Linked DNA regions of Caenorhabditis elegans. The protein of the gene in region 4 purifies or fractionates together with the protein of the main gene of each other region. This does not show direct contact. Each region holds a gene or a part of one and is shown on either strand. Other genes may lie near its edges. The genes, in order: acs-18, sft-4, Y17G9B.8 and ile-1.

The links.
Region 1: the proteins of ile-1 (region 4) and acs-18 fractionate together in Caenorhabditis elegans (co-fractionation; one large-scale study listed by BioGRID). This does not show direct contact.
Region 2: the proteins of ile-1 (region 4) and sft-4 fractionate together in Caenorhabditis elegans (co-fractionation; one large-scale study listed by BioGRID). This does not show direct contact.
Region 3: the proteins of ile-1 (region 4) and Y17G9B.8 fractionate together in Caenorhabditis elegans (co-fractionation; one large-scale study listed by BioGRID). This does not show direct contact.

The regions. Positions count from the first base shown.
Region 1 is NC_003282.8:10,309,934-10,315,444, forward strand, and holds acs-18 (Long-chain-fatty-acid--CoA ligase), read right to left. Parts: upstream 3,733-5,511; 5' UTR 3,674-3,732; coding exon 3,587-3,673; intron 3,504-3,586; coding exon 3,330-3,503; intron 3,285-3,329; coding exon 3,087-3,284; intron 3,037-3,086; coding exon 2,892-3,036; intron 2,843-2,891; coding exon 2,461-2,842; intron 2,412-2,460; coding exon 2,214-2,411; intron 2,167-2,213; coding exon 1,557-2,166; intron 1,492-1,556; exon of another isoform or gene 1,471-1,491; intron 1,377-1,470; exon of another isoform or gene 1,286-1,376; intron 1,256-1,285; coding exon 1,112-1,255; intron 1,030-1,111; coding exon 865-1,029; 3' UTR 815-864; downstream 1-814. Other genes in the region: R09E10.8 (Saposin B-type domain-containing protein), read right to left, coding at 198-395, 442-480.
Region 2 is NC_003284.9:5,778,072-5,782,357, reverse strand, and holds sft-4 (Surfeit locus protein 4 homolog), read left to right. Parts: upstream 1-1,635; 5' UTR 1,636-1,645; coding exon 1,646-1,714; intron 1,715-1,772; coding exon 1,773-2,080; intron 2,081-2,126; coding exon 2,127-2,438; intron 2,439-2,904; coding exon 2,905-3,049; 3' UTR 3,050-3,483; downstream 3,484-4,286. Other genes in the region: sym-3 (C2 NT-type domain-containing protein), read right to left, coding at 3,737-3,923, 4,129-4,267. UniProt on the Caenorhabditis elegans protein: Endoplasmic reticulum cargo receptor that mediates the export of the yolk proteins from intestinal cells by recruiting cargos into COPII vesicles to facilitate their secretion.
Region 3 is NC_003282.8:4,756,272-4,760,432, forward strand, and holds Y17G9B.8 (SGF29 C-terminal domain-containing protein), read right to left. Parts: upstream 2,570-4,161; 5' UTR 2,360-2,569; intron 2,311-2,359; 5' UTR 1,847-2,310; coding exon 1,773-1,846; intron 1,727-1,772; coding exon 1,278-1,726; intron 1,231-1,277; coding exon 1,043-1,230; 3' UTR 906-1,042; downstream 1-905. Other genes in the region: Y17G9B.11 (PID domain-containing protein), read left to right, coding at 334-540, 591-671; memi-1 (MEiosis-to-MItosis transition associated), read right to left, coding at 2,969-3,151, 3,203-3,394, 3,444-3,629, 3,677-4,156.
Region 4 is NC_003279.8:9,608,843-9,613,601, forward strand, and holds ile-1 (L-type lectin-like domain-containing protein), read right to left. Parts: upstream 2,693-4,759; 5' UTR 2,691-2,692; coding exon 2,611-2,690; intron 2,559-2,610; coding exon 2,489-2,558; intron 2,441-2,488; coding exon 2,327-2,440; intron 2,283-2,326; coding exon 2,033-2,282; intron 1,989-2,032; coding exon 1,270-1,988; intron 1,221-1,269; coding exon 975-1,220; 3' UTR 702-974; downstream 1-701. Other genes in the region: aqp-9 (Aquaporin), read left to right, coding at 8-95; K07A1.15 (Sm domain-containing protein), read right to left, coding at 199-340, 390-504, 548-659; ate-1 (Arginyl-tRNA--protein transferase 1), read right to left, coding at 3,095-3,518, 3,565-3,720, 4,064-4,369, 4,420-4,547.

The DNA.
Region 1 (5,511 bases), on a different chromosome or scaffold from region 4:
TTTAGGGTTCAGGCTTATGGGAGCCATCGCCATTTTTTCTCCCATAGATTTTAGCATATGTATCAAAATTTGAATAGTGTCAGATATTACAACTCATTAAACTTTCAATAGTTCAAGACGACTGTAACATTTATTCTCGTAATTTAATAACGAATACGACGATCTTTACAATATTTGCTGCATGCAAGATCCTTCAATTAAATAATATACGGGTACATTTTACCGTATGATGAATTCAAGTCAGCTGAATTAATAATTCCCTTGCACGCTGTTGTTGCCATTCCAAGTGTTTCACATGCACTTCTCAGAGAATCTTGAGCTACTGGCCAAGTCTTTGGAACTTCAATGAATCCACAGTAATTGCAAAATTGTTGAAATTGGGCGTTTGATCCAACCTGTAAATGAAGGCATACACAGAAACTCTAAACATTATATACTTACCAAAAGGGCGAAGAAGAAGAGAGGAAAAATGAGATTCATATTTTGAACGAAATATGCCTAGACACACCCTGTCATTGCTTTTATTTAAAAAATATATGGGAGAACAGTAAGATTCCCATCTTTCACAAAAACCGACTTGGGAAATTCACTAGATTTATTTGTTCTTCTCTGATGATGTCTGTGTGGAGTTAAAACTCTTTGAAAACTATAATCTCTTCGAAAAAAAGAACATCTGAAAACAAAAACATGTAGAGTAGGAAATGTCATATTCGCGAATGTTGTCAAGCTTGGTCATTTAACAATTTTTTTCAAGCTACTCGGCCTTCAATACATGGTATTTTGCAATCTCCATGTTACCTTTAACTAATTTCTCAGATCGTTGGGAGAAGCCTTTTTTAAGTTCTCCAGAAATTTCATTATTGTTCATTTTGCCAAATTCGAAAGTTCACTAGTCTCAATCTTCTTATACATTCCATCAATTTCCGCTTTGAAAAACTGTGCGATAGCATTTCTCTTATTCTTCAATGTAGGTGTTGTCAACCCATTTTCAGCCGAAAAAGCAACTGGCGTCAAGTGAACGCCGTACACCTAAAGTTAAAAACTAAATATTTATTGACATGAAATTCCTAAACAGTGATAAACATGAAATTCCTAAATTCCTAAACAGTACCCCTTCATATCTTGGCCTTTTATCTTCTTCTGTGAGTTCTACAAATTGTCGCAGCACATCATCTGCGAGAATCGGAATGTTGCACAATTGTTCATAGGTTTTCCCATTGATGTTGTGTTTGGTTAGCGCATATGAAGCAAGATACTGAAAAAAAAAGTTTTTAGAAGAAATAATAACAAAAACGATAGGTTCCACCGAGATTTGAACTCGGGTCGCAGGATTCAAAGTCCTGAGTGCTAACCGCTACACCATGGAACCGGACGAAAATCGGTTTCATTCTAGTGTTGACATTTTTGTCATTCTCTATCTCATTCTCTATCAACGGCTTTGAGTCTCCAGTGTCAATATTCATTTCGCAATCATTATCAGCGATAAAAGAAACACAGAAGAATCGAACTTCACATATATGAAATTCTCTGAAACAGTATAAAATTATTATTATTACCTCTGGATCTGGGACAACGATTGCTACAAGCCACGGTTTTTCCATATCGCCATGAACGTAAATCTGTTGGACAAAACTCGAAGAAGTGTAGAGGGATTCTGTGAGATCTGGAGCCACAAACTTTCCTTGTGGCATTTTGAAAACGTTTTTGCGTCGATCAATAATTTGAAGAGATCCTTCAGCAGTGAATCTTCCAATATCTCCAGTTTTCATGTATCCATCTTCAGTGAAAGATGATGCAGTTGCTTCTGGATTCTTGTAATATCCTGAAGTGACGTTATGACCCTTCACAAGTACTTCTCCACCATTTTTATCAACAGAATATCCAAGTTCAGGAACATCAATTAATTTTATCATCGCACAAGCCATCGGTGGTCCAACACATCCAATACGTGTATCTCCAACCAATTGAAGTGTTGTTGGTCCAGATGTTTCAGTTTGTCCGTATCCTTCCAGAACCTCAACTCCAAAAGCCCCACGAGCAAACCTCATTGCGGAAACGTCTGATTTTGCAGCTCCAAGAATCAATTGTCTGATGTTAGGACCGAGAAGCATCTGGATTTTATGCAAAACATACTTATCTACCCATGTTTTACGAGTAGCTTTGCCTCTAAAAAATGATTAAAAAGTGTTTTCAACTGTTCCATCGGAACCTACGTCATCTTATAATGGTATAGTTTATAGGCTATTGCCGCATTCAAAATCATTTTCTTGAGTGGTTTATCCTGAACTTGCTTCATGACTGCCTTATGGATTTTATCAATAACACGTGGAACAGTAGCAAATGACCGAGGAGCCAGAGCCTGAACGTCATCTACTAGAAGCTTGGGATCACCACGAGAAAATCCGATTCGCCTGAAGTTAATTGAAACCGGGAAATTATTATTGAAGTTGAATTTCTTACGATCCAATCATGAAGTTAGAGAGTAGGCAGAGTCTTTCGTAGATATGAGCAAGAGGAAGATAAGACAGATAAGCATCTTGAACTCCAGCTTCATTTTCAAACTCTTCACATGACATTGTGGCGGAGCACATATTCAAATGAGTCAGCATAACACCTTTCGGACGTCCAGTTGTTCCAGAAGTGAATGAAATTGTTGCCAATGTTTCTGGTGTTGGTGGAACATGTGGACGATGCTTTTGTTTCTTTCCCATTTCTACAAACTCATTGAAACTCCAAAGACGGAAATCATTTTCCCGTGCCATTTCTTTAATGTCATCTGAGCACTCGTTAAATTGAACGATATACTTCAAGCTTGATAAATAGGACTTATCGCGAATGAGTTCTGAAATTTACAAAGGTAGATCACTTTTTTTTCAGAAAAAAAAACTTACGTTTAGTTTTTATTTCGGCGTCAACGAACATCAAAGAAATTTCGCAAAGGTTAGTAATATAATGCATATCATCGTTAGTAATAGTGTCGTAAAGTGGAACAGAAACGTTGCTGAAGTTATGTATTGCCATTTCTGAGAGAATCCACTGAATATTCAGAAACAATTGATTGTCATGATTGAAAATTATTATTTTACCTCTGGACGATTATTCGAGTAGATACCAATTTTTGATTCTTCCCCAATTTCAATTCCCAACTTTCTGATAGCTTGTGAAGCATGATCAGATGTTTCGAATGCTTGATCATATGAAATCCATTCCCATTCCAATTTTCCATCTTTCATCACTCTTTTCCCCAACATTTCTTTTCCACCGACAGTTGGTCCACGACGGATCTAAAGTAAACGTTGGTCTATTGAAACATCTGATTAATATTAAACCCCTGAATATGTTGTCAAAACGCCTTCAAACCATCCGTGTTGTAGAGGACCGTCTCCAAGCCACGCAGCCTTTCTACCTCCATCTTCTTGAATAATCGATTGGTTTTTTAGATCACATCTTGGTACACGACGTTTTCCAAAGAAGAATCCACGATCTTGAACGGAAATCGGGTACTGAAACACGGAATATGATGGTAGTTATAGGACGCGCGCACAATTTCTATGAGACGCCATAGAAATTTAATTTCACAACTTACAGTAATCCTAGTAAAAAGACCAGAATATCGAAATGTCAAGCGTGAAATCACTTGTCGGGTAATCAAATTTAATCCTCGATAGGACATTGTAAGCTGACAGCGAGTCACTTGTAAGATATTTGTTCACACGAGAATTAAGACGAAATAATTTGAAAACTGACTGTCAGTGAGTTGAAGATAAAACCGCGTAGAAGATGTCACTGTGTCACGCTTAAAGTTAATTTAAATCTTTAAGAACTTTTTTATCTTTTTCAAACTTTCAACATTTTTCAAACTAATCCTGCTTTTTGCCTTTTTTTTAAAAGAACTCGTCAAAGTTTTTTACATCACAAAAATTTCAAGAAGAAATGAACGCCTGTAAAAGTGCCTACCATGCCAAATTTCAAACAACAGACCGAAATAAATTTAATTTTCTATCAGTAAAGTACACAAATATTTGTAGTTTCTAATGTTTCGTATACATGATTATCATAATCAGGGAAAAACAATTCGACTTCCTGTATTGATGTGAACTTTTCTTGTGATTATACGCACTTCATCAATATAAAACGAGCTTCAGAGCAATGTTATAATTCAAAATAAACTGAAAATGAAGTTTATATCTATCATAATTGTTCTAATGGTTGCACCATCAATTCACTCTTTTCCTGCAAGAAAACGTCGTGACTTGTTTGGAGCCGTTGCTGGAATTGCTGATAATATTGTTGGTGAAGCCGAAGGATTGCTCTATCAGGCAGAGGATGTAATTGGAAAACGTAAAAGAGAGATAACACATACTTTTAGTAACGGTTATTGATTTCAAATGATAGAAAATCAAATATTATTTCCAGAAGGAAAGCTGTCTGAAAACCCCATCGTTCGCCACAAAAGAGATTTGATTGGGACGGCAGCAGGTCATTTCAAGAGTGCAATCAATACAGTTGCTGGAGATTTTTTACAAGTTTACGTTAATGGCTATACTTCTAATTTCAGTGGCTCGCCAAATCAAAAATACGATTGGATAGAATTTTTATGTTATCTGGAAATGTATCTATTCAAACTGTACTTTGTACACTGAGCTAGTTTTTCATCATCATGTTTGCAATATTTTGTTAATCGCTTGTATAAAACTTACAAAAAGTTTGTTTACCGATTTTGATTCCAGTTTTGAATAGTATAATATAGAAAAAATTTCAAAATGATATTCAACAATTGGGAAGCTATATCCCTCTTCATGCAGCCGGTAAAAGTGTATCGCTCTCCTCATACTTCGAGCAAGTTTGAAATTATCAAGATCAAATGAAAAATTGAGAAATAACTTTCTAAGTGTGTCCAGTGTAGTAATGCTTGGCCAATTATTGTTAGTGAAGCGTATCCATTCCTTTACTGCACACTTTACATGCCTAGGAAAAATAGCTAAAGAGGAACAAAATATTAATCATCCAAGTTTGATTCACAGCAAATACTTATTTAAAAAGTTCATTTAAATGTCCATTTTCCTTTTTAATAGTAGAGACTTTTTTCCACATTGTTGTTGGATGGTGGGCGCTGCTGAAATAATTTCTAGACATTGTAATCATTTTCCTAATAAACATACTTTCATTCCTGTCTGGGCTGCCAGATTCGGAGCAAACGGGACTGGAGGTTGAACGACCAACGGTTTCTGAGGAGCACATGAGGTTGTTGGCACTGGAGCAGGAGAAACAGATGGAGATGGGAGAGCAGACACTGTTGGAGGATTTACAGTCTGGATCATCGAAGGTGGAACAGTTGGAGTAATTAGCGACTTTTGTGGTGGATTTGGAACAACTTTGGATGGACTTGGAATAGTTGAAGGCACTGGTGGAGTGCTGACTGGAACTGGGGATGGTGATACTCCGTCATCTCCGTCCTTCTCGATTTTAGGCGGTGCCTGGAAAAATATGTGAAATCTAAAGTTCTCTAGA
Region 2 (4,286 bases), on a different chromosome or scaffold from region 4:
GTAACAACGTGGAACCAGTTGCAGCTCTCGTAAAAACAAACATCTTTTGTGATTTTTCGCTCAACCAGTTTTACCGAAAACTTTATGTAACATTACTTTTATCTTTTTTTGCGTTTTTTCTGTAGTCTTTCGATTATCTTCAACTTCTAATGTATTTTAAATCATAATTCATTCATAAAAATGGTTGAATTCAATGGCACCTACTTGGCAGGTGGTGATACTCGGGAGCGGTGATATACTCTCTTTCTCCTTCCTTTTCGAGAGTGTCATTTCTATTTTCAAACCACAACCACCACATCAGCTCGCGTGCGGCTGCGACGCGGTCTCTCTACATTTCGTGTGCCTCCTCTTCCTCCATTTGCCCCTTTCGGTTCAGTTCCCCTTCTTTTCTCGTCGCTTATGTTTTCGTTTTCATTTGTCCGGAGAAAACCTGTTTAGGAAAGAGTCGTTCACATAAACGCCCGTCACTTATGCCCGTTGACATCCAAACTCTTACTTTTGAACCGCTTTTTTCAACCAGTTTAAGGTTTTTTCCCTAGCTTAGTTTTTACACAACTGTAGCGGAAGTGATAAAGAATAATTTCCATTCTCTATTGTACATTACTCATTTACCCAATGACTTCGCTGTACTATTTCCGCAAGTTCAGTATCAATTCTGTGTATACGATGACGTGACGCGGTGTATTCATTGCCAGTGTATTCAGCGAAAGCTGACGTCTTTTTGTCAAACTTTAAAAACAAAATAGATAACCCAACGTTTGCTCAAAATACACTTAAAACCCAGCTTTAAAACGTGTATCATTAAAGATTTAAAAATTTTCAATTCCGTTCCAAATATCCACCATTCATCGGCGCGGCCATCTGTTGGCCAGTTTGATAAACAAAAAGTCGTGACCGCCTTGTGTGTTGACATTGTGCAGCTTTGACGGTTTTCCTCCTACCTGGAGAGATGTTATGTTTGGCGACGATTGTTCTCATTTTAATTTCCATTTTTCATATGTCATCCGATTTTTTGTGTGTGTACTTGTTGTTAAATACGTCATCCGCGGTGGCTCATTGGAAATTCAGAAAACCCAGAAAATGGGAAATTTACGTAGGCTGCTTGCGCCAACAAAGGCAATAAATGTCTTCTCTACTACTCTCGATATTTGATAGCATCTAGACTAGTTAGCTCTTCGTTCATTAAATTAATGCGCCACTGCCATAGTATTTACAACCTTTTTGATGAGAGGTTATCTCTTCTCATGTTATCTCATCTTGTCTGATTACATTTTCATTCAATCCGATCTGTCCCTCTATTATTCTCAATGAACACAAAAGATATATTAAATCGAAACAGTTGTGTGTAGTGTTTCGGAAAAGATACTATTGATCCGTTGACCTCTAATACTGGCGTCAATCGTAAGAGAGACGCAGACAGCAATACACATCTTTCGTAAAGTGCACATGCCACGTGTTCCATTTTGTAGTCATTCATTCAATCCACCATCTAATCCTTCGATTCTTCTCTTCCACTCATTCTCTTCCAGCATTTTTGTTCGTCGTCACCGCCCGTCTCGTTTTTTATCAACTTCTTATCATCTTTCCGATTTTTTTCTTAATTTACACTACACTTTTCCAAACCTATTTTTTCAGCTCTTGGAAAATGAACCAGTTCCGGGCTCCAGGTGGTCAGAACGAAATGCTGGCGAAAGCAGAAGACGCCGCTGAAGATGTACGTAATACCTCTAAACTATTATATGAACTATGAACTTTAAACTTGCGAATTTCAGTTCTTCCGCAAAACAAGGACCTACCTACCCCACATTGCTCGCCTCTGCCTCGTCTCCACATTCCTTGAAGATGGAATCCGTATGTACTTCCAATGGGATGATCAAAAACAGTTCATGCAAGAGTCTTGGTCTTGCGGTTGGTTCATCGCAACTTTGTTCGTCATCTACAACTTCTTCGGACAGTTCATCCCGGTTTTAATGATCATGCTCCGCAAGAAGGTGTTGGTCGCATGTGGAATTCTTGCCAGCATTGTCATTCTCCAAACCATCGCTTACCATATTCTCTGGGACTTGAAGTTCTTGGCCAGGTAATCATTTGTTTCCTTTGAACTCGCAATAAACGTAAAATTTCAGAAACATTGCCGTTGGTGGAGGACTTTTGCTCCTTCTTGCCGAGACACAGGAAGAGAAGGCTTCCCTGTTCGCCGGAGTTCCAACAATGGGAGACTCGAACAAGCCAAAATCGTACATGCTTCTTGCCGGACGTGTTCTTCTTATCTTCATGTTCATGTCTTTGATGCATTTTGAGATGTCCTTCATGCAAGTTTTGGAGATTGTTGTTGGATTTGCTCTCATCACTCTCGTCTCAATTGGTTACAAGACAAAGCTTTCCGCGATTGTTCTTGTCATCTGGCTCTTCGGACTTAACCTTTGGCTTAATGCTTGGTAAGTATTTGATGTGGAAACGAAACTATACAATCTGAAATTATCACAACATGATCGGGATAGCTCAGTCGGTACTGGTGGCCGCTAGCAATCATGAGGTCACTGGTTCAAGTGCTCCCTCTAGATTCTGGATTATCAGCCACAGTCCCGGGCTCAAGTGTGACTCGAACTAAAGCTCACTGGGTGTATAACTAGCCAGTGCAATTGACACCCAGATCCGCAGTGAAGAACAGATCACTCTTAATGATGTTATTCAAGTAGTGTCGGAAAATTAAAAAGTATAGAAAAATGACGTCACAACTGTATTGAAATACACAAAACTTGTATTTTAATACAGCTGTGACGTCAAAAATGTATTAAAATACATTTCGCAAAATTACTTGAATAACCACTTTAATCAAAACAAAAAAACCAATTATAACAATTTGACGCTTGATTAACCATAATTGAAACATTGATTTTTCAGGTGGACCATTCCTTCCGACCGCTTCTACAGAGACTTCATGAAGTACGATTTCTTCCAAACCATGTCCGTCATTGGAGGACTTCTCCTTGTCATTGCCTACGGACCAGGAGGAGTGTCAGTCGATGACTACAAGAAAAGATGGTAGATACCCCATTAACACCAGTACTTATACGCATTTCTATGTCAAATCATTGCATTACACTCACTCACCCCGATAAATTTACCTGGATTGTTTATATAATTTATGAATCTGTTTCGATTTTTTCGATATTTCCTTTAATCAATATATTTAGAGTAGAACGTTTTCCCTCGGTTTCCCATCCAATGCTTCTTGTCGTAATGTTACAACTTCATATCTATTTCCTTTTATTTTTTTTTGTCATTTTCTTCCTTTCCCTAAAACTTCATGGACTATATGGGTTGTTTTCCAATGAAACTCTCCCTACAAACTTCTATTTTTCTCACACGAATCACAACTAAAACAGTCATTTTTCCACCACTTTCCTTTACTTTCTAATCGGCCTATCCCAATTTTCTTCTGGTAGTTTTGTTCCCGTAAAGAATAAACATTTTTCTGTCAGACAATCATTTTATTTGTTAAAGTTTTCTAATCACCCGAACAGTGAAAATAATTTAGCTGCTTGAAAAAGAAGACCCATTGGTAATACAATCAAAATAGAATTAACATGAGACGAAGAAACCGTATATCAAAAACCAGAAAGTGCTTGTAAGATGAAAAAGGCAGTCATCAAAATGATGCACATAGTTTCAAAGTAAATAAGTAGTAGAAATAAGAAAATTTTCGAATTTAGAACAAAACGGGAAAATTTTTTCACGCATCATTGAAATGTTCAGCCACATAAGACGTCCGTTTCACGGGTTGACGTGGATTGACAAGTGGCTTTCCATGTTTATCCAAGAATTTCTCGAGCACCAAGCCTCCGCTGTTACTCTCCACTTCATCTTCCGATATTCGACATTCGGCAATGATTTTGTCAATCACGTTGTCTGCATCGAATCTGAAAATGATTGAAAAATTAGGAAAAGAAATGCTCAGAATCAATATTTGACCAATTTTCAATTATTTTTATGGGACTCAATTCAAACATGAAACAGTAGAGTAGAGGAATTTGGGTCATTTCACTAATCTTCTTAACATGAATCAAAAAGGTCAAACTCGCCATGACTCTTTTTTTTTAATGTTTCAAAAAAGTTTCACCTTACCTGGAGTGTTGAATTTTTTGAGCAGATCGATCTTGACTAAATCGTCGTAGTTGGCAGGTTGGATGTTGTGGTGGATGTATTACTCGTCGTTCGACAACTGGTTCGTCGACTTGCGAGTTGCTAGCGGCGGATGAACTTTCTGAATAATTTTGGTCAAA
Region 3 (4,161 bases), on a different chromosome or scaffold from region 4:
CCATGTTCCCAGGACCCATTAACATATTCTAACGTCTTCTTATTCTGACAAAAAGAATCTTCTCAAACACTTCACTCTCACGGACGAACGGACAATCATCTTATGGAAATATTTCATCAAAAGAGAATTGATAAGTTATCATTTGATACTGCACAATTCGAAAGTACGATTTGTGATGAATTCGAAGGATTGGAGTTTGAGGATTTGCAGCTAGGCACAGTGTTTGGCTTTAACAGTTTGCTATATGAACATGTGTTGAAACAGTTTTCCGGTAAAACTGATTCAATTTGTACAAGCAGCAAAAACCCGTTCTCAATAGAAGCATCTAAACAAATGCAAATGGTTTTAACACGTAACATGGACATAGTTGTACTACACCAATCATTGAAATATGATCTTAATGATGTACTAAATAGTGACAAATGCTTCCGCATTCGTCGCTTATCTAAGAATCAAAGATGTCAATATATTTTTGAAACACTGGATTCACGGAGTCGACAGGAAACTGGAATCTGCGAATTTCGATTTTACTGCATTCAGGTGAGACGAAGATCTTCTCGAATCACTCTTTGAAGGTATAGAATATCTAGCAGATAGCTATCTCTAGTGCGCTTTCGATGCTGAGGAGACTGTGGATAGAGAATTTTTTGTTCTTTTGCCGTTGGGATTGACGGGATGTGACGAGTATCCTGTCAAAGGTGGTTATGATGTGAGAAGGAATGATGGGATGACGGCTATGTACTATTTATCATTGTAGATCGTGCAGATATATTAATCAAAATGTTTTTCTGGTTTTAAAATCACGTTAATTTTTAATAATCAAGACCACGCATTGGATCACTTTCTAATTTTTTCTGCACTCTCTGAATTATTTCTCTTGTATAATTTTCGAATAATGTTGCCGCCAATAATAACACGTTTTATTTTTGATAAGAACAACTTTTATGGACAAATAAAAAACATTGTGAGATTTATGAGAAGGAATTCCGGGATTTTTAGGAGTTACATACAATAAATACTGTCAATTAATTGGATTATGGCCTCATTTCTTTTTGTGGCCATTTCCCTTTTTTGGAGCAGTTGATGCAGTGAGCCCTGCAACTTCTCGGAAGGCAACCACGTATTTCTGAGCAACCGGCATTGGAGGGCAGAATCCTGATGCATAGCTGTCGTCTTCGAACGCTACTTGATATGGTTCTCGAAAATCTGCTGGCGGGGAGTGAACTATTCCTGGAAAATAATTATTTTATTTTTGAAACTTTTGTGAAAATTGGTACCTTTGTAGAAGCAAGTGGTTTGTGGATACAACGCCAACACAATCGCATTTTTCTCGAAAAGTGCATGCTTGTCTGATGCAGGATTCGCTTTCCATTTTGGGAGGGGTAACAAATGGCTTCTCGCGAAAACTGTCAACTTCTTCTTGTCATCATCAACGTCTCGACACTCATATCGCGAGTTAGAGTGACATGTGACAATATCAGCAAGAATCCAGTTTCCGTCTTTACTGAATGCCGCCACTGAATCTCCGTCGCCTAGTTTCGAGCCATCCTGTGGTGCAATAGCTCCAACATATTCTCCAGGAAATTGTGTGTCATGGCTGGTCCATAATGGAAGAAGGTCGCCGCGAACCTTGATCAGTTCCATTAAATCTCTCCGACTGATGTCTCCGGCCATTTGGGAGCGATAATCCATTTCAGCAACACGTTTTACTTCGTCCAAAAGATTTCTGTAATATTTATTTTAATTTTGAGAGATTAAAGATGAAAACGAACCTAATGAATGATTGTTGTGATTCCACAGATCGATGAGTGCTGGTGACAAAATGTGAAATTCCATCGAAAACCATGGAAACTTCTCAGTAAACCCGTTCAGAATATACCCAGATTTCAACCGAATTTGTGCACAGCATGCAGAAATCGCCGAATTTGTACAGATTGCAAATTTGAACAGATTTTCGAGGCAATTGCCCCGAAAATTTTGTTGAAACTATTCAAAACTTTACTTCAAATTTTAAAAATTTATCTAAAACTTGGTCTTCATTGATTTCTTTTGTTAAGATTTTAATTGATATTTGCAAGAAAACTTTAAAATCGTGGCGAGACCCAGCCGTACAACCACGTGCCCCTTTAAACAGACTACTGTATTTATATTGAATTTTTAATGATTGGATTTCGCAAAAATTAGTTATAAAAATTGTTTAAAAAAACCCACTTTACCCTTTCCATAGGGGTTCGGCTCATTATCTCGGAATTCTTGAAGTTTTTGCAGATTCTCGTTGATAGCGTCTTGCTTCGATTTCACTGTTGGCAGCTGGAAAATTAATTTCAAAACTAGGAATAAATAAATAAATAAAACTCACCTTTTTGATAACCTCTTCGGCGGTTTTCTTCTTCATTTCCTCGGTGATTTGCACATCGTTCTTCTTCCGAGGCATTTTGAAATTATGCTATTTTCCTGAACAAGGAAATGAAGAGGTGCAATAGAGCAGATATATATTTAAACGGGAAGAATCGAGAGAGACCTGATTACGTGATGAGACGGGGAGAGTGCAGACATTACAAGTCGTATGCTGTGAATGAGGCAATGAAAAGGCCAGGTTGTTGCGGTGGGAAAATAACGTATATGGAGTAATTTACCAGTGAAAAGCCGGGAATAGTTGAAATTCATATTCTAATCAATCAATCAGAGCAGTAATGCATTGTAAAATTATACCTCAAACAAATTCATCTTTGAAAAAAAATCAAAATAAATGCGGGCAATATACATGTCGAATATAAACAAAATAGTCGTGGGTTGTCACAATTTGGGCATTGGAGAATCTATATACATAAAACAACTAAAACAAAAAAGGAAAATAAAATAGGGGAAGTTAGTTGGAATATTCAACAGGAACCACTCGGTTATTTAAATACATATACAATAATACAGACTTATGCACATTACTACTAATTATAGGACATATATGGAGTTACTCGTCCTCTTCATCCAGTTCGAATGTTTCGAGAAACGAGATCAGGTCGTCGACTGGCGCAATTCCGTTTTCCAGCGAGATCATATCCTTTTCGACCTCGAATTCGTGGATTTCGACTGGCTCTTCGACAATCAGCACTCGCCGGTTCATGCACTTCACCGTTTGCTCCAATTCGATGTACTGAAAATGTTATAAATTGGAAATCGATAGAATTATTGCTATACAACTCACTCTATTTCTTCGGAAAGGATCCCTGGTGCTCGAGTTGTTCTTGTACACGATCCTCGTTTCCACGTGGCGCTTTCCTCGAATTGAACACGTGATTGATGCAGTCGAAGTCATCAGCCGGCCTTGTGAATCGAGTCCTGGCTCGAGATTTCCGTATTCCCGGCAGTGTGTGGTTCTCAGGAGACGAGTGATAGTCTGAAACATGAAAAGTTATTTGTGTGTAATATAAAACCGATTTACTTACTCTCTTCGTCTGTGATCGGATCAGGGTTGCAACCACAAAGCTATCTGTCATTTGGAACCTTTCGTTTTCCTTCTCTAGTTGTTCGAGCAATGCAAATAACGTTTGGAACGACATTTCATTGGTTGTCTGGATAGCAAATCGAGCCACATTTTGTCCCGTTTCCTTCGGTTCGGTCAGGAGAGAAGTCTGAAATGAGATTTATGCTTTATCAAAAATATGGCCAAGAAACTAACCAGAATCAAACTAGAGATATCCTCGACCGACAGCTTCCGGCACTGAGCGGCAAAATAATGTGGTCGTTGGTTGGGATGAAGAAACACGTGCTCGACAAGCGCTTTCTCCGATTCTCTGGTCGTGTGGAACCATCTTTGCGAGAAATAGTCGTAGCGCTTAAGACGAAGATTTTCAATCGGCACAGTCTGAATGTGCCGGAGCACTTTGACAGCTTCATCGCGGATGATTGTCTTGCTCGGTTTCTTGTCGACGAGCTTTGGAGTCTCATCGATACGATGAACGGAACAGTAGTTCTCATCTTCGACGAGCTCCACATCTTCTCCGTGCCCTTCGATAATTACATCATGATTGATGTTGGGTTGTGGTGGGAGGGAAGAGCAACCGGCTCGAGCGGTTTCCAAGCGATCTTCTTCGGCGTAGTTGGCGACGTATCTGGTCGCCGTCAAATCGCGAAGGACGGTGCGAGATGGAGCTGACATTCTGA
Region 4 (4,759 bases):
GTTTCAGGTACTTCGCCGAAATCGTTTTTGGCTCGGAAGATGTTTTAGAAGAAGAATCTGAGGAACAAGAGAAGGATACCAAAAAGAAGGAATAGAACATTTATTTTCGAAAATTTACATTTTAGGTTCTTGAGTTTGAGCTTTTAAATTAAATATTCAACTTTAAAATTTGTAAATAATATAAATATAAACTGTTTTTCACTGATCCACAATCTTCCGTCCAGTATCGAACTGTTTCTGATCAAGTCGCCGATTTTGTTTAGGACGTCCTGTTTGATCACCTTTCATACATCTTCGAATCGCTGCGATTGGAACAACTTGATGTTCAAAATGAACAAATCTGAAATAAAATAAAATATGATTTATTGAAATAATTATATATAAATTACCTGACATGTTTCCCAATTACGAGGTACTCGGGTTCTTCAGTTTTTTGAGCATCTCGAATGATTGTGGCATATTGAATTCGGATATCCAAATTCGAATCACAACTTTCCAAAATTCCTGAAATGTATAGTTTGAATTAAAAATGAAAATAATCTCCTACCAATCACATAAACATCGTTGCGAAGCTCCACAAAAACTTTTTTACCAGCCATTCCCTGTAAAACTGCACCACATCCAGATTCGAGTCGCTTCTTTTCATTTGAAAACTCCATTATCAAATTTTATTGGATCTTTATTTACGAGGATTTCCTTTCTAAACAATACATTTTTATTTAAATAAACTACCATCGAATGCACCATTCAAATACCATACAAATCGAAAAAAATAACGGGGGAAATCTGACTAAAACACAACACAATCAGGGGTGAGATGATATTATTTACCAGGGGATTTTTTGAATAAGAAAATTCGTTGTGGGGTCGCGATAATGTCGTAAATACGCTGTATTGAGAACAAAACATCACATTTGACGACAGGTTCGAAGGGGAAAGACATTGTTAGTTAATGATGGTTAGAATGCAATAAATTAGTAGAATTTGGCCTTGTCTTGCTTGCTTCGTACAAAAACGACTGCAACTATGATGGCTGATTGAATGAATATGATTAACATGAAGATGGTTGACGAGACGCATGAAATGTTCGGGCAGTTCGCAGCGGCTCCAGGTCCACTTGTTTGAATTTGAGTTGCTCTGACTGTTCGTAGCTCATTAAGCAATGAATCAACTTTTTGATGCATGCTGCTGTCTACTCCACCTGCACCAGCACCACCTTGCTGAAAAATAAGCATTTAAACACTAAAAAAGGGTTAGGTGAAAACTTACAGCAATTTTTTGATCAATGTTATACGTTTTGGTGAAGATTTCATTGACATACTGTTTCATGTCACGAATCGTTTGAGTTAAATCTCGCAATGACGTTATAACTTCATTTTTCTCGTGTTGTTGGAAGCTTCCGCCAGCGGCGACTGGAGCTGGTGCTGCTCCACCGGAGTGAGGTACTGCAGCAGCGACACCAGACGTTTGAGCCTGCTGGATTTGTGCTAGCCTCTGATCCATGTTCTGCATAACCTGATGAATAGCGTTTTGAGACTCATAAATTAAACGAAGTTCGCGAGCAGTAGCATCCTCATAATACTTATTTGGATCATACTCGTCGTCTTCTTTCACTTTATCCGGATGTTGCTCCTTGAATTTGGCTCTCTCCTGTTCATATTCTTTCATCTGCCTCTCGAACTCTTCATCATATTTTTGTTTCTCTTGTTGTGGAATCTGCTCAGCAACTGGCACTGGTTTCTGTTGCTCGTTGAAAAGAGAGAATACAGAGAAGTCCAAAACGTCGTGGTCATCAGCAAGACCGCCGGTAGCAGCAGAAACGCCGAAGTATCCATTACGTGGAAGGAAGATGTTTTCAGCACGCATACAAAGCTCGTAACGAGGTGTTGGTTGCATACCATCGTCAATATGAACTGTGAGTACATTCTTCAAATATTCGATTCGAATGCGAACTGGATATGGCTTATTACGGAAATCTCGTTGGCAACCTGAAAAATATGTTGGTTTGGTGATTTTTCTTTAGAAAACTTACTAGACAAAATCTGTTGTGATCCATCGGTATGATGATCATATGATCTGGTTCCATCATTCAGCATAAGAGACACCTGTGGGTTGTTCTTTTGGCCATCGTTGTCGAACGAATCGAGGAACAATCCCATACCCGTCCAGAAATCGTTTCCTCCGAAAACTGGTCCAAGGGCTCCAAGTTGAGAAGTGTACCAGATTCCGAGACCATCTGCTCCGACACGTCCCTGTCCTCCAATTTTCAGAGCGATGTCTACCTGCAAATGTGTTTTTTTTTTGGATATTTTTCTTAGAAACTCACCTGGAAGTTTTCACTTTCTAAGAAAGCTCTCTTGTTCCACGCAATACCTTTTCTGCTTCTCATTGATGGAGCCAATCGGAGCTGTTCACCAGAAGCAATAGCATCTCCACTAACCTAAATCTCACGCTTTTTGATTAAAAAATTGGAGAATTATTTTCTTACAATCCAGAAAGGAATAGATCCATCGCGTTGTGCAAGATTTGGAGCACGGAAAGAATGCTTGTATTCGAACCTGTAAATTAAAGAGGAAATTACTTCAAGGTTTTTAAACTTTAAAAACCTACTTCTTGAAAACCGGAGTATTTTGTGCTTGAATGGTAACGATTACGGCCAGCAGCACGAGTAGAACCCGTGATGAGGTCATATCTGGAATGCAAATGTTTGCTTAGCGAATGAAAATGCAAATATCGTGAGAAAATTTTGGAGAAATGAAGGAAAAACTGTAGAGAAACTCGGCATAAGCCAACCGTACACGTCGACGAACTGCGTCTGCACACAACATAATCTACGCACAATTGCGGACTTTCCGGTATTTGCATTAAAACCTTTTTTGTTAGAAATTCGTGAAGTGTTGACAAAATAAATCGGTTTGCGCTCAGCTCTGCAGCCGGTAGGCTCGAGCCTGATATGTAAATAATATGCACTTCATGATTGCCATTTTTATTTAAGCAGTTTTTGACTGATGAATACAAATAATTATACAAGCAAAATACATTTAAAAAAATATGTGTCCAGTACTAATCAAGAATTTTATACAAACAGAAGCTTTTAAGAGTTTAGTTCATTGAAATAGTAGACAACTCTGCTCAAATCAGGACCCACGAGATGTGCCAAATCCCTAACATTTGCTAAAAATTGCTCGTTTTCTGCAGCTTCTGGAATCTCAGTGAGTGCATCTGACAAAGTCGTTATTGATCCGTTAGAGAACACGAGAAGAGTATCAACAACTGGAGAAGCTGGACGAGGAGCTCCTGGACAGAACTCAGAAAAGCCATTTGAGCAAGTTGAGCCATCAAGGAGATCACGACATGAATTAAAATCAACCCATCGAAACGATTGGTCACAAAGAAGATCACTTGGGCGAAATTTAGCCTTGTAGCGCATTTTTGGACACGAGTGAATGTAGTATCCCATATAGTAATACTTGAGATTCGAATAAATTGCATGAAGACGTTGAGTTTGCTCGATTTCTCTGTAATTACAATTTATGATTGAAAAAAAACGAAGGATATGCCCACCTCAAAGCTGTATATGTTCCCAGGGACAAAAATGAATATTCCGGATTATAATACATGTATTTGGCCGAAAAACATTTTGGTAGAATATCAACGACACAAACAGCAATCAGTTTATCATCTAGAAGAAACCAAAGATGGAATGAGCCCAGCTCTATTCTGAAATTGAACTCATTTTTTAAGAGTAACTGGCGAATTCCCTAAAAGCTACATTTTGTGATTTTTTCTCCAAAAATACGGTACCAGGTCTCATCACGGCAAAATTTGTTGAACCCAAAACGCGCGCCTTTAAAGGGTACTGAAATTTTAAAATTTCGTTGTTGGGGAGTTTTTATCGAATTTTAATAGGTTTCCTCACTCACGATATGTTAAAATTCATGCTCTTTGTTGTTGTTGAGTTAAAGGCACCGTTTTGTACTTAACAAAACATTTTTCGTGTCGAGACCTTGTATTTTTTGCGTAAAAATCGCAAAATTTCGCGTTCGGGGTAATAATAGCTCACCCTCCTCTTTGCTCTTTTTTCAATGGAGAATCACAGAGGAATCTACGAAAACCGGCAAGTCGACAGTCTTCGTCTTTGTGAATAGTATGCTGGTAATTTTTGTACAATTCGAATGATTCGTTATCTCTTGTTCCAAATTCATCTCCACCGAGAGAAACTAGTTTTACTTCGAGTTTATGTTTCCAGTCAGGACGAGCTTCATCGATGTACGATTGAATTGTTCGTTGACGAGCTGCATCTTTTTGACGACGTTCGGTTCGGACAACATCGGGATCCAAATTCTTTTGACGACATTTTTCTTCAAATCTGTAAATTGAAATTATTAATTATTAAACTAAATATTGGAAAAAGTCTACTTTTTATTGCGAATTTCCTTTTTTGTCAAAACGGGTCTATCCGCATCTTTCATTTTCTTCGTACTAACTTCGTGGGATTTCAGATTTTTCTTTGATTGTTCAGATTGACTGCCGGACCCTTTTAAGTTCTAAAATTCAATTATTGTATTTTCACCATATCACCCAGACGCGAAAACTTGCGTTTTTGCGCCTAAAATGCGGTGCATGGTCTCGACACGAATTTCTAAAAAAAATACAAAAAGGTGTGCTTTGAAGAGTACTGTAATTTCAAACTTTCGTTGCTGCAAACTTTTCTTCGATTTGTGAGAATTTATTTCACAATTTGTTAACATTTATTTGT